Callithrix jacchus: one gene and its partners. The protein of the gene in region 3 interacts with the protein of the main gene of each other region in a biochemical or structural test. Links are inferred from orthologs where the notes say so. Each region holds a gene or a part of one and is shown on either strand. Other genes may lie near its edges. The genes, in order: RPS6KB1, PDHA1, PDK1 and AKT1.

Region 1 (3,565 bases), on a different chromosome or scaffold from region 3:
AAACTGTTGAGAACAAAAATATAAGGAAGTAGACAGCAGAAATAGTAGAAAGAAGTAAAACTGAAAATCTTACCAATTTGCTGTAAAGAGATTAGACAGAGAGTGGGCCATAGCAACACCCTCTTCCCCTGATATCCCTATCTCCCTCTCTTCTGTTGTTCTTCAGCCATGAGCTGAACACATTTGGCGTCTTGAATCAAATATACTGGTATAAGAACAGGTGGCGATTTTTTTCCAGTGCAATGCAGGCCCAGGACAATGATGAAATGTAGGACATACAACTTATGCCCATTCCAAGGCTTCCAGTTAAGCTTAGCACATAGCAGTACTGCAAGTAGAAATGATTAAATAGATTCTTTTTTTTTTTTTTCTCATATTACAGACAAGTATTGCAGCTGGGTTAATGAAAATAAACCCCATGTCCACCCCAATCCCTCAAACGAGCCACAGCTGTGGTTAACAATGATTCATTTGCATTTTATTATTTCACCAAGAGAAGAAACAAGTTGTCTGGCTTTCTTCACACCAACCAATAATTTCGCATTTTAAAGTTTGGGATGTTTTTCATAATGAGCTGAATCAAAAATCTATTTGAAAAATATATATTTATATAAAAAAAAGATTCAGGTTGTTTGCACGTAAAACATCAATTGGTAAGTTTCTTTTGTCTTTTATTCCATGTTGCTGGAAAAAGTTTGACCAAGCTTGCATGCTAATTTGTCCTTAGTTGCAAGTATTATAGGCAATTTTGTACTTGCCTAATGAAAGGATAACCTTTCTTCGACACAGTCAGAACTCAACAGTGATTCAGAAGCAACATCCTACCCTTAATACTGTCAGTTTCGAGTCATCAACATGAAAATCCTTGATAAGGTTGAGAAGATGTTGCGAGGAATCCATTAACTGATGTGCCTAAGAGTTCGGCAATACTATTTTGCTTTAAGTTTTTTTTTTTGCACCATTGATTGATTTTTTTAAATCCACGTTTATTTTTCCTCTCTCCAAAGTGTTTTATGTAATGACATTGACTCTGTGAAACTGTCATTTTGAGTCTTCTTGTTTCACCTTGCAGGATCCTCACACATCACCCTCCACCTTTTTTGCCTTAAATTCATTAAAAGCATTGCTCTGTCATAGATTCATTCGCAGGTGCTCTGGCCTTTTAGAGATCATGGGAAAAGCTTGTTTTTTGTATGGCCCAGAGTTTGGCTGTCGTATTGGAAGTGGTGCTGATGCTTCCCCACTCATTGTCACATCCATCTGCTCTATGCCACTTGTTTCCATTGGGTATTCCACAGGTGTCTGAGGATTTGCTGTGCTGGCCGAAGCACCTCTTCCCCAGAAATCCCCAGGAGAAAATTTGACTGGGCTTTAAGACAAGGAAGAGCTATCATTCATTTGTTTAAGGATCATCTTAACAAGACAGTATTTCCTTTACATTTAAAGGGAGTGGGAAAATATGACTTTATTTTCATTTAATTTTATTTTCATGTGAATTAGCACAAAGGCAAAAGTTGGGCCATTCTCTCTCCTAGACTGTTAGAATTTCCTAACTGGTCTCTTTACCTCTACAGCTGACCCCCAAAACCCGTGTGTGTGTGTGTGTGTGTGTGTGTGTGTACACATATTATATATATCATTTTACTCTCCCCTGCTCAAAACAGCTTTCTATTGCATTTAAAATACAATACTTTTCTAAACCTCTGCTATTCTCTTCCTCACTCACCAGACACTCCAGGAACACTGATTTCCCTTTCATTTCCAGGAAAAGGGCAAGTTTTCTCCTCCCTCAGGGCTTTTGCATTTGCTGTTCTTCTGCTTGTAGGGCTGTCTCTTTCTGTTCACTTCTAGATGTTACTACTCTAGGGAGGCCTTTCTCTAACCACTGAGAGTAGAAACCTCCTTGTTTTCCTCTGCTGTCTACCACATCCTTTTTTCCCCTTTTAAATTATAGCACTTAGCACTACTTGTAATTACATATTTTTGTGATCCTTTGTCTATTGTGTGTATTTTGTGTATCCTTTATTATTGTATCCTACATCACTCCCACTAAATTGTAAGCTTCATCAGGCCAGGGACAATTCCTATATTATGGTAATATATATATATATATATATATATATACACACACACACACACACACACATAACATGCAGTATGTAGCACAGCTCTTGGTGCACAATAAATGCTGAGTGAATGGATAAAGAGGACATTTGCCAGTGTGGCTGTTTACTTTCAGAAGGGAAGGTAAACGATATAACATCATAGATAGTCAGACTAGTCCTTTGCAATGTAAGATATCGATGCTGTGCTTATGTCAAAGAGAATATGACAGTCATTTATGTAACTTGGCATAAATTTATTAAGCAACACTCTTGTAAGTTGTTAAAAAGAAAAAATAAAGAAGTGAAAATAAGAGTGTGAAATACCTGACAGGTGTTCGTGGGCTGCCAATAAATCTTCGAGGTGATCGGATTTTTGGTTCAAAGGAAAACTTTTCTTTCACACTTTCAAGTACAGATGGAGCCACATATGTAAAACCCTGAAAGAAACAGTGGACTATAGAATGGTATTTTGTCATGTATCTCAAAAAAATGGGGTTGTTCAGTCTGACATACCAACACAATGATGCACACCTAAAACCACCAATGTGTATACTCTCCCATCTCCTCAACCTCATTTTTAGACCTGTTAACCTCCTTCCAGCCATTTTGTGAGGCACGCATTTCAAGAAAGCAGAATGCTATTGAGCCCAAGATGCTGGCAAACAAAATTCCATCCTATTGACAGGAATAGGAAAAAAAAAAAAAAGAAAAATTCAGGCTCCATATGAAGATGTTAAATATGGCCAGGGATGGTGGCTCACACCTGTAATCCCAGCACTTTGGGAGACTGAAGCAGGCACATCACCTGAGGTCAGGAGTTCGAGACCATCCTGACCAATGTGGTAAAACCCTGTCTCTACTAAAAATACAAAAATTAGCCATGCATGGTGGTACACGCCTGTGGTCCCAGCTACTCAGGAGGCTGAGGCAGAAGAATCGCTTGAACCCAGGAGGCGGAGGTTGCAGTGAGCCGAGATTGCGCCACTGCACTCCAGCCTGGTGAAAGAGCAAGACTCCGTCTCAAAAAAGAAAAAAAAGTTAAATATTAGGAGAAATGCAAAGAAACTTCTAGTCTTTCCAGCCACAGGCATATAAGCAACTAAGATTATCACCCCAAAACAGATTCTCATAATTAGGCCAAGTAAAAACAATTTTCTGACTTGGCATCAAAATCTAATCTTATGACCTTTCTGGTTTTATGCCAATGGTTGGACAGATTTTTTTTTTTTTTTTTTTTAAAGAGATGGGGTATCCCTATATTGCCCAGGCTGTAGTGCAGTGGTGATATCATAGCTCACTGCAGCCTCAAACTCCTGGACCCAAGCTTTTCTCCCACCTCAGCCCCGCAAGTAGCTGAGACTATAGGCACATGTGATCATTGCCCAGCTAGAATTTGGTATTTTTTTGATGAGTAAGTATCAACATTACAAAAACATTCAGTTGTAATAGGCAATAATGCA
Region 2 (4,038 bases), on a different chromosome or scaffold from region 3:
TATAAAGTCAAAAGAACACTGATAGTAAAGATTTCACAAAAGGTGTCATACAGAAATGCAAACAATAAAAGAACAACATTTTAAAATGCAATTCTGTCTTCATCCACAAAATAAGAATTTTGAAAATGATAAACCTTATTCAAAAATGAAAACACAATCTTGTAATTCATTTCAAAGTTTCACACCAGACACTCTTTGATGAGACAATGGCAATCTTTAAGCCTGAGATAAATCTCCCTGCCTGCCTTTTAGAGAGTGAGAGTAATCCCAGCACTTTGGGAGGCCGAAGTGGGAGGACTGCTTGAGCCTGGAGTTGGACACCAGACTGGACAACAGAGCGAGACCATGGCTCTATTAAAAATTTTTTTTTTTTTAAATGGCTAGGCGTGGTGGTGCATGCCTGTGTTCCCAACTACTCGGGAGGCTAAGGTAGGAGGATCACTTGAGCCTAGCAGGCTGAGGCTGTAGTGAGCTGTCATCAAGCCACTGCACTCTAGCCTGAGTGACGGAGACCTGTCTCAAACAAAACAGACACCAGGGAGAATAAAAAACAAAAAAGGAAAAAACACACGGTGTCTTGGGAGGTTAAGGCTGTAACTTGTGTCACAGCCATCAGACCAGCTGCCTCCCCTTCTCTGGTCCGTCCCTTCACGGAGTATCACACAGATGGCAGGACTCCAGTAAGTCTGCCTAATTTGGGTGAGCCACTGCTCATCGTGTACTGTCTGGACTTTGGGCAAAGGCTTATATGCAAAATGTCTTATAAAGTATAGAAAATTAAAACCTTGATCTATTTTGTGTTATAGTTAAGTAAAAAGACATCCACATGTATGAAGAATTACAAAATACAAAGAGTCAACAGGTTAGAGTTTATTATTCCACCCTTTAAAAAGATCCAGGTGAAACTTAGTACTACCCTTAGAAGCTTCGGGAATGGTTCCTAATTAATTAGACCATGACAAGTACAGTGACACAGAAAACTTCTAATTATCTGAAGAGTTTACACCACCAAGTGGAAAGATACCTGGGCACTTTCTCAAGTGACTTCATATCTGGAACTCTATTTTATTCCTTCTGTAAGGTGGAGGAGGGGGAAGAATCCTGCAGATTGATACAGAAAACCTGACTTGCAGAAGAAACAACCTACATCAGGTGCCTAAGGGAAGGGTGCTTCTGAGCCCCTGCCTACCAGCACAGCCCTCTACTCACAGATACCCCTAAAGGGAATGACATCCTCCCCAACCTTTTTTTTTTTTTTTTTTCTAAAGAAAGAGTCTTGCTCCTGTTGCCCAGGCTGGAGTGCAATGGCCTGATATCAGATCACTGCAGTCTCTGCCTCCCGGGTTCAAACGATTCTCCTGCCTCAGCCTCCAGAGTAGCTGGGATTACCAGGGCCTGCCATCACGCCCAGCTAATTTTTGTATTTTTAGTAGAGACAGGGTTTCATCACCTTGGCCAGGCTGGTCCCGAACTCCTGACCTCAGGTGATCCGCCCACCTCGGCCTCCCGAAGTGCTGGGATTACAGGCATGAGCCACACATGGCCATGTCATAGACATCAAGTCCTGGGGGGAATTACCAGGGCCAGAATCAAGAGTGCTGCAGTTACACCGATTAACACGACCTCACTGTGCCTACGGGTCAGAATGCTAGAAGCTTAGGTGTTAGGCACCTCTAAATGCTTAAGCCATGAAATATCCCTAACTGTAACCCCCACCCCTCAAGCATCGTTGCTGTTTGCTTTAGCTACTTGTACCCCAAGACTTTGCAGGTGAGGGGAGGGCAGTGTCCTCTGAGTTCCGGTTCAGCGCTCTTGAACTCACTGCCAAGAAAAGCTGAGATGTTGAGAGAGAAGGGGAGGAAGTTTGTTTCCGAAGAGGCTGACTCTCTGTGAACCCGCCTCCCAACTGAGCACAGGTGTTCAAGACATGTATACCGAACTGGGCACTCAATAAATAACACCATTCAACACACCTGCTATCGACTATGTGCCAGGTGCTAGTTGGAACCGTTTCCGCACGTGTCACTCGTTGAATCCTCAAGACAACCCCAAGAGGTGGGGACTCTATTATCTCTCCATTTTAGAGTTAACTGATAACATTTCAAAGACGACTCTTATCTCCACTTAGAGATTAACTCCACCTAGAGCAAACATTTTAGGAAACAGGATCCCCGGGACCTTTAAAAACTTGCTCAAGGTCACAGGGCTGGTCAATGGTGAGGGTGCTGTTTGAACGGAGCCACCCGGTCTCCAGATTGTACGCTATTTATTACAAAGCCTCTCCGTCAAGAGAAATTAAGTAAGGAAGATGTGAAATGACTGGGGTTAACTGGAGACTCGAAGGAGGCCGAGGCCCCTCTTTCCGTGTCCTGTCAACCAAAAGGCACCTCTTCAGCACACAGCACACCGACTTCGCCCGGCGCACAGCTGGGTCCGGGAGCGGAAGGGGGGAGTCGGAAGGGGGAAGTCCACACGGACCTTGGCGGGATCCCTGTCCGCGCCGCTTCCCCTGGGGCCAGGAACGGAATGCAGGGCGTGGAGGCAAAGTAAAGGCTCCCCGGCTCCCCTACAGCCTTCCACCCCGCGCTGGGTGGCCCGGCCCCCGCTCCGGCCCCGCTCGCGCCCCACCCCGGCCCGCCTGGGAGGTCTCACCGGCTTCTGGGAAGCACCAGACAACACGCGGGAGACTGCGGCGAGCATCTTCCTCATGAAGCAGACAGTGGCAACTCCTAACAGCCCAAGAGGCACTACTCGGGTGCCCCCAAGTCTCCTTCAGGCGCCCCAGCAAATGCCACGCCTCAATCGGAGCGCGGCGTAACCGAGTCGTAATGAAGTCATGCGCTGCGCCGGGCCGCTGGCCAACCAGAACGGCGTCCGGGGAGTGCCCCGCCCCTGCGAAAGGACTGCGGCTGCACATTGGGTATCGGCGCCAGAGGCGGAGGGCTGCGGGCTCTCCGTCGCCACGCGGCGGGCGGGTGAGGAGGCGGGGGCCTGAGAGCGCCTGCGTGGGAAAGTGGGGCCCCTCCTCCAGGGCGCCGCGGAAAAGGATGTTTCCTAGATTCCGCCCTGCAGACTGGCGGGGACCCCGGTAGTCCAGGCCCCGTCCTACCGAGCGCCTAGTCCTACCGGTGCTGCAGCTGCGCAGCCTTTGCTCACTACACGAGATGAAGAAGATTAGCAACGTGCTCGAAGCCAAAAGACAAAACACCTAGTTTCTGTAAATGGTCTACCACTAACTTGTCTTTAAAAGATCACGTAGCGGTTCGAAAATTCTGCCCTGTCTACTTGAACGCGGATCAAAAAATCAGTTTCCCGATATATGTCGAAAGGTCACTAACTTCTCTAGTTATTGGTTCACAGGCTCACTGCGAGTCAACAGAGTGGCTCAACGGATAAAAGCACACACACAGACAAACACCAAAGCAAGGAGAGGGTCTATTCAGAGGATCAAAGGGCTCAGGAACCCATTCTATTGTGCCCTAGAGGGATTGCACCTGGGGTTCCGGGTTTAGATTTAGGCTCCACATTTCAAGCGGGATAATGACTAAACTGAGTGGAATCCACGGGACAGTGGTCAGAATGGCCAGGGGCTGAGACTGTGACTTATGAAGAACGATTAAAGAAGTTAGGAAGAAAACAGATTAACTAGAATGGGCTCGGTTATGTTATGGCAACAACTGACCTCCAAATTTCAGGCACTTCAAGGATTTGAAGTAACACAAGCCATCTTGCCCATAACACAGGTCCCTCATAGTTTGGCAACCCTCTGGAACTTAGCTTGTCTCATGATGAAGGGAAAGGGGATCATTTAAACCGGCTCTCAAAGCTTCTGCCCAGAAGTGACACACATGTGAGTTCCTCTCAATTTCCACGGACCAGAGTTCCACAAGATAAAATACAGTCCTCCTGCCAGGAGGAGACCAGAAAATTAGATGAACAGTAAAACCAGAGAAGATGGGATGTGTCTTCACACGTTTTCAGGTCAGTCATATTCCAGGAGGAAGAGCCTGTGTGTGTGTGTGTGTGTGTGTGTGTGTA
Region 3 (3,565 bases):
TTATCAAATGCTATGCTACCATTACAGAACTGAAGAGTTAATATGGCTTTAGAAAACCACCAAGCAATTCTATTTTCAATTGTATAACTTCACTGCTCTCTCACTCTAAGGTCCAGGATACAGCTTAGTAAAAGCCTATTTCATTTTATTCTTCCTACCACACCTTCTTAAAGTGTCATCGTAGGAAATGTTTTTCTCTGTCAAACTACCATGCCTCAGGAAAGAGACTCATCAATCCCCTTGCAAGGCATCTCAACCCTTTTGTCCAAAAAGCACTAATCAAGTTAAAATGAAAACCATCAGAGACTAACAGACTCTCAAATAGATCAGCATCTTTCTTTCCTCTTTTAAAACCCTAGGCTTTCTATGCCCTCAACAAGAGAAAAGTATTTACAACTCATGACGTAGAAAAAGGGTAAGTCTTACATTACTGAAGTGCATGTAAAAGTCAAATGTAACTTTCTTGGCATCATTTTTTTTCTATGACTAAACAGAAAATAAAAAATAAGCAAAGAATCAAAGTTATCAATTAAAAATAAAGACAATGAGGCACAAAAAGCCAATATTTTTGACAATCTGACTAAATTACATATATATATTTGTATATACACTTTTCACATGATTACTTTCCTTTAGCCTTTATATACAATGCAGTTGAGGAAAAAGTCATCTTCCATTAAAACATTTAAATTCTTATCCCTTACCAAGTAATCAAAGCACTAATTATTGAGGAAAACAAAACATCAGGCTTACCATTTAGTTCTCCAAGTTCTAGTTCGGGAGAGTTAATATAATACAAATCACACAGACGCCTAGCATTTTCATAGCCATCTGGTGCAAATAAAAACAAAAAGAAAAGATTTAATATATACACTTCTGTTTCATGCATTAAGATGGCAATAGTATTGACAAGTGAAAATCTTAAACTTTCTATAAAAGAAAATATACTTTGATAGTTTGGGGTAAGTCTTTGTTTTTTTTTTGGTAGAGCCATAGTCTCACTACGTTGCTCAGGTCTTTTTTGTTTTTTAAGTGAAAGATACCCTCAGCAGGGCTCAGTGGCTCATGCCTGTAATCCCAGCACTTTGGGAGGCTGAGGCAGACAGGAGTTCTAGACCAGCCTGGCCAAAGTGAAAGTCCGTCTGCACTAAAGATACAAAAATTAGCCAGGCATAGTATTGGGCGCCTGTAATCCCAGCTACTGGGGAGACTGAGGCAGGTGAATTGCTTGAACTCAAGAGGCAGAGGATGCAGTGAGCTGAGACAGCACCACTGCACTCCAGCCTGGGCAACAGAGTGAGACCCTGTCTCAACAACAACAACAACAACAACAACAAAAAGGTTTATCAAACTTTGCCTAACAAATAATTATATGAATAAAATAGTCATCCTATATACAATGCACAAATAATACTATAAAGTTATTTTCAAACCCACACATGTGTGCCTGCCATTTTATCTCATGATGCAAACAGCTGCTTTAATAGTAAGAAATAACAATCAATAATTTTGATTTTTGTATCTTTTTTGCAAGGAGAAATGTTAGGATTTACCTTTAATAACTTCAACTACATTGCAGTTTGGATTTATGCTTCCAATGTGTTTTCGATGAGATGGACTTCCTTTGCCTTTTCCACCAAACAATAAAGCTATCCAAAAATAAAAAACAAACAAAATAAGCTAAACTACTTAATGCTCTTTTCCAAATGTGAATACTGTTTCAATTGTACCAAACAGTAGAACAAATATTTTCTTTTAGGATAAACATAGTATTTTACATTAAATAAAAATACCTTTCTTGATGGCAGTCTATTTACTTTTCCTAATTAGCAAAAAAGTAAAACTAAATTTTCTACCTAAAAGGAAGTTTTCTAAATAAATTTAAAATATGCCAACACATCTTATTTAGCCGCTTCTCTTGACTGAGGCCACTTACAGTGCTGATTGAGTAACATTCTAATTGAAATGCGACTCATGTAGAATCGATCCAAAAAGTACTGAACATTCTGGCTGGTGACAGGATCCACCCCAAAGCTCTCCTTGTATTCAATCACACCCTGGGCCATTGTGGGAATGACATCATTGTGTCGGTTTCTGATCCGTATCACAGTATCTGTAAAGCTAAACAAACCCATCTGTCAAAACAGCCAAATATTTTGACAAGTAAGTTTAATACAAAAATTTAAGTTTAACAAGCTATACTAGACAAAAAAAAATCCCTAACTTAGTAAAAGAAAAATCGGTTCATGTTTTCCTATACTTATTTACATGTATTTCAGATCATAAAATATACCAAATCCATTCAAGTATAAGTGCCTCCAAAATAAAACTTTCAAAATTTAATTATTTTCTTGGATTCCTAAGAGTAAGGCTGCCACAAAACATAATCCTAAAAATGTTAATGGTTTTCTTTAACTGTTATCAACTAAGGTCATCTGAGCACTGGCTATGAGTATGGTATTCCAGAGACATTCTGCATAGAAGACAAAGCACTCTAGGACACATGCTCTGTAAGGAATCCAGATGAATGAGCCAATAAAGCCTGCCTGTTTTGGAACTCTTCCCTAGGGTTCAAAGAGAGAAGAAACACTTAGGACAGAAAAACAAAAAAGAATTCTCATTTCATTCATCTTATGAGTTTATAAAAGGGGAGAGGAAAAGTAAACAATTATATTAAAAGACAAATCTTCAAATCATCTAGCCTTCCCACTTCTGTCACTTAGAAGACATTACATGGTTAAAGAAATAAATAAAAGAGAAAAAAAGCCTTAATTAGCAGTAACAAAACCAATTTTCTAACATAACAATCTGAATGTACACTTCTAAATGAATGCTTTCTTATTCAAAGTTATCATCCTGAGTATTATTAACTTATTCCAATGTTTCTACTGCTTAAAAGATATTTGGAATTCCTAGTTTGTAATGAGATTCAAAACAAGACTGTTAAAACAAAATACAAACAACAAAACTCTTCGAAAACAACAACTCCTCAGTCTAGTCACTTTTTATTGATTTATTTTCTTTTTTCTTAAAAGAAACACAAATCTGTGTTATTCTGCTTGACTACTCAATTTATTTTCTACAACTCCGAATGAATGTTTTCAGAAGGCTCTATAGCATAATGTTTACTTTTAAATTAAGACTGCTTGGATTCTACCATTTGCTAACCACGTAACCTTAAGCTACTTTACCCTCTTTGTGCACAAATAGCATTATTTCAATGAACTGTTTTAAAGATTAAAAAACATTCATGTGAGGTTTGCTCAATATCTAGGCAAGGAGTAAACTCTTGCTAAATGTTATTTTCAGATTAAAATGTTAAAAAAATGAAGTGTTACTGTACCCTTTAAAGACAGTCCAAAAAATATGGGTAACTAACTGAGGACAAGAAGTGGTCATTACAAAGTCAGTACCCTTCATTGCAATAAGCAGGTAGCTGCATAAGACAAATACTTTGGTTTACCAATTCCAGTACAGGGGTTATTAAACCTGTCATATTACTTACATCATCTTACAAGCCACAGAGTATAAACTAGAGGCCTGCAATCATGTTCTTATCGGCCTT
Region 4 (3,565 bases), on a different chromosome or scaffold from region 3:
CACTCAGCCAGCCTCAGCCTTGGGACTCACCCAGAGACCCCCACTCAGCCAGCCTCAGCCTTGGGACTCACCCAGAGACCCCCACTCAGCCAGCCTCAGCCTTGGGACTCACCCAGAGACCCCCACTCAGCCAGCCTCAGCCTTGGGACTCACCCAGAGACCCCCACTCAGCCAGCCTCAGCCTTGGGACTTGACCCAGAGACCCCCACTCAGCCAGCCTCAGCCTTGGGACTCACCCAGAGACCCCCACTCAGCCAGCCTCACCCTTGGGACTTGACCCAGAGACCCCCACTCAGCCAGCCTCAGCCTTGGGACTCACCCAGAGACCCCCACTCAGCCAGCCTCAGCCTTGGGACTTGACCCAGAGACCCCCACTCAGCCAGCCTCAGCCTTGGGACTCACCCAGAGACCCCCACTCAGCCAGCCTCAGCCTTGGGACTCACCCAGAGACCCCCACTCAGCCAGCCTCAGCCTTGGGACTCACCCAGAGACCCCCACTCAGCCAGCCTCAGCCTTGGGACTTGACCCAGAGACCCCCACTCAGCCAGCCTCAGCCTTGGGACTCACCCAGAGACCCCCACTCAGCCAGCCTCAGCCTTGGGACTCACCCAGAGACCCCCACTCAGCCAGCCTCAGCCTTGGGACTTGACCCAGAGACCCCACTCAGCCAGCCTCAGCCTTGGGACTTGACCCAGAGACCCCCACTCAGCCAGCCTCAGCCTTGGGACTCACCCAGAGACCCCCACTCAGCCAGCCTCAGCCTTGGGACTCACCCAGAGACCCCCACTCAGCCAGCCTCAGCCTTGGGACTTGACCCAGAGACCCCCACTCAGCCGGTGCACGTTCCTCATTGGCCCAGGACACGGAGGCTGCAGGGCACCCCACTGTGGGGCCTGGTGGGTATAAAGGGCTCCAGCCAACTCCCAAATCCAAACCCCGAGAGGCCAGGGGGACACTCACGTGCCACAGAGAAGTTGTTGAGGGGGGCCTCGCGTTGGTCCACGTCCTGCGGCCGCTCTTTGTAGCCAATGAAGGTGCCGTCATTCTTGAGGAGGAAGTACCGTGGCCGCCAAGTCTTGATGTACTCCCCTGCAGGGGGCAGGCGGTGAGGGCTACACACACTGCCCATCAGACCCCCGCTGCGCAGCCAGGCAGCAACCCGGTGTGCCAGGACACACATGCCTGAGACGCCTGAGTCCCCGGGAGAAGGCAAGGGGTGGGGTGTGTTCCTTAGGGCCAGCGACAGAAACGGCCCTGGGTCAACAGGAAGGCAGACTCGCCCCACCACAGCACCCTCTTGGAAGAGCCACCCCTAGCTGTGTCTGAAAACGGGCTGGGCCAGCTGGACTCAGGGGATGGAGAGCCATTGACAGGAGGCTGGAGGAGGTCTGAGCCAATCCACATGGCCTTCCTGGAGGAGGAGGCACCAGCTATGGCTGCAGGGGCTGCAGGGATGAGAGCATTCCCCAATCAACCAGCGTTGGCCAGGTGGCAACTGCAGGTGACAATGGCACGTGTGGGCTGCCCAGCACAGCTGTTGTCCCCTGCCCACCAAGAGGATGGAGCACGGCATCCGAAGTGAGAGGTCAGCACCACTGAGACTGAGGGCCGGGATCCTGGTTCAGCACCAGTGAGACTGAGGGCCGGGATCCTGGTTCAGCACCACTGAGACTGAGGGCCGGGATCCTGGTTCAGCACCAGTGAGACCGAGGGCCGGGATCCTGGTTCAGCACCATTGAGACTGAGGGCCGGGATCCTGGTTCAGCACCACTGAGACTGAGGGCCGGGATCCTGGTTCAGCACCATTGAGACTGAGGGCCGGGATCCTGGTTCAGCACCATTGAGACTGAGGGCCGGGATCCTGGTTCAGCACCATTGAGACCGAGGGCCGGGATCCTGGTTCAGCAGCACTGAGACCGAGGGCCGGGATCCTGGTTCAGCACCAGTGAGACCGAGGGCCGGGATCCTGGTTCAGCACCACTGAGACCGAGGGCCGGGATCCTGGTTCAGCACCACTGAGACCGAGGGCCGGGATCCTGGTTCAGCACCAGTGAGACCGAGGGCCGGGATCCTGGTTCAGCACCACTGAGACCGAGGGCCGGGATCCTGGTTCAGCACCAGTGAGACCGAGGGCCGGGATCCTGGTTCAGCACCAGTGAGACCGAGGGCCGGGATCCTGGTTCAGCACCAGTGAGACCGAGGGCCGGGATCCTGGTTCAGCACCACTGAGACCGAGGGCCGGGATCCTGGTTCAGCACCACTGAGACCGAGGGCCAGGATCCTGGGACAGGAGCGGCCACTGCTCTGGCAGAGCACTCCCTGTCTTAGGGGCCTGGAGCACCATCCTGGGCACTGCCAGGGAAGCCAGACCCAGAGGTGGCCCAGCCAGCTGGGCAGGGGCCCCGGGCACAGAGGGTGTTCAGGCTGCGTCCCACCCGTGGGTCACTCAGGTGCACGGAACGTTTTCCCTCCAGTTTTGCCGCATCAGCCATACGCACTTCAGAATCGGAGCAGCTGCCCCAGTGACAGCCCAGCAACGACCATTTTTCATACTGACACTCGGAAAAAAATGTTCCACTTACATTTTGCCAAGCAAGGAATTTGAACAACGGGGAACTTACTAATGAGGCAACGGCCTCATCGGAGAGGCCGCTGGGCAGGGTAAAGGGTTGGGGGTCCCTGAGCTCTGGGGCCTGGGTTTTCCTATCAACCTGAGCCCAGACCAGGACACCTGGAGGGATGTGGGGGACAAGCAATTGTCCCATCACCGGACCACCCACCCCCAGCCCTGCTCAGTCCACATGGTGAGTGCAGGCGCGCCCAGTCCTCCCTGGTGCACAGGTCACGTCCCAGCACAGCAGCGGCCCAGGGAACTCAGAGGGCACGGGCCCCGGCATCCCTGCAGCCAGGGCATTCTCCTTCCGGGAAGCCACAGGCAGTTTTCACTGTAAGAGGTGAGCCACCAGGGCTTCGCAAATGGTCACCCCAGGCCAGGTGACCTCTCCCTCCTCCCCAGCCCCGGCTGTCCGATGCCCCTCCTACCAGCACCACAGGGCATGGCCTCCACAGGACCAGCCCTCGCTCCGCCAGATCCAGGGCCACTGGGGGGATGCTGGTGGCGAGGGGGACACCCCACCCAGCAGCTGAGTGTGGGGAGAAGCTGTTGCCAGCTCTGAGGTGGACCCAGGAGGGGATAGTCAGAGCCCATCCATGGCAGCCTGACACCTCCAGAGGATGACACATGCCCAGTCGCAGGGAGAAGGGTCCAGAGCTCAGAATCTGCCCCTATGCCCGGGAGCACTCACCAGGGGGCTCACTCACCCACTCTGCTGAGCCCTCCATGCCCGTCAGGCTGCCGGGCAGATGTGGTCTTGCCACCCTTGGGCACCGGCTCCAGCCCCTGGCCATGAAGACAGTGGTGCTGGCTCCTCCACTTGTGCCGTCCTGTGTCACCCCAGCCCTGGAGCTGGGAGTAGTGGGGCTCTGGGGCACCTGTTGTCGGGGCTGGCCGCCCACTCCCGAGTATACACACACACAAACATACATGCCAGGCAGCTCTACCCCG

The links.
Region 1: the proteins of PDK1 (region 3) and RPS6KB1 form a complex in vitro, tested with the Homo sapiens proteins (2 studies listed by BioGRID and IntAct, with this or other methods). The link is inferred for Callithrix jacchus from reciprocal best matches to the Homo sapiens genes PDK1 and RPS6KB1.
Region 2: the proteins of PDK1 (region 3) and PDHA1 form a complex in vitro, tested with the Homo sapiens proteins (2 studies listed by BioGRID, with this or other methods). The link is inferred for Callithrix jacchus from reciprocal best matches to the Homo sapiens genes PDK1 and PDHA1.
Region 4: of the proteins of PDK1 (region 3) and AKT1, one has a biochemical effect on the other in vitro, tested with the Homo sapiens proteins (3 studies listed by BioGRID and IntAct, with this or other methods). The link is inferred for Callithrix jacchus from reciprocal best matches to the Homo sapiens genes PDK1 and AKT1.

What each region holds. Positions count from the first base shown.
Region 1 is NC_133506.1:94,532,547-94,536,111, reverse strand, and holds part of RPS6KB1 (ribosomal protein S6 kinase beta-1), read right to left. Parts: intron 2,543-3,565; coding exon 2,430-2,542; intron 1,388-2,429; coding exon of another isoform or gene 1,372-1,387; exon of another isoform or gene 1,370-1,371; coding exon 1,132-1,369; 3' UTR 1-1,131. UniProt on the Homo sapiens protein: Serine/threonine-protein kinase that acts downstream of mTOR signaling in response to growth factors and nutrients to promote cell proliferation, cell growth and cell cycle progression.
Region 2 is NC_133524.1:19,816,489-19,820,526, reverse strand, and holds the start of PDHA1 (pyruvate dehydrogenase E1 component subunit alpha, somatic form, mitochondrial), read right to left. Parts: upstream 2,810-4,038; 5' UTR 2,710-2,809; coding exon 2,653-2,709; intron 1-2,652. UniProt on the Homo sapiens protein: The pyruvate dehydrogenase complex catalyzes the overall conversion of pyruvate to acetyl-CoA and CO(2), and thereby links the glycolytic pathway to the tricarboxylic cycle.
Region 3 is NC_133507.1:56,928,915-56,932,479, forward strand, and holds part of PDK1 (pyruvate dehydrogenase (acetyl-transferring) kinase isozyme 1, mitochondrial), read right to left. Parts: intron 2,122-3,565; coding exon 1,937-2,121; intron 1,650-1,936; coding exon 1,554-1,649; intron 832-1,553; coding exon 754-831; intron 1-753. UniProt on the Homo sapiens protein: Kinase that plays a key role in regulation of glucose and fatty acid metabolism and homeostasis via phosphorylation of the pyruvate dehydrogenase subunits PDHA1 and PDHA2.
Region 4 is NC_133509.1:139,649,538-139,653,102, forward strand, and holds part of AKT1 (RAC-alpha serine/threonine-protein kinase), read right to left. Parts: intron 3,467-3,565; coding exon 3,322-3,466; intron 1,090-3,321; coding exon 961-1,089; intron 1-960. UniProt on the Homo sapiens protein: AKT1 is one of 3 closely related serine/threonine-protein kinases (AKT1, AKT2 and AKT3) called the AKT kinase, and which regulate many processes including metabolism, proliferation, cell survival, growth and angiogenesis.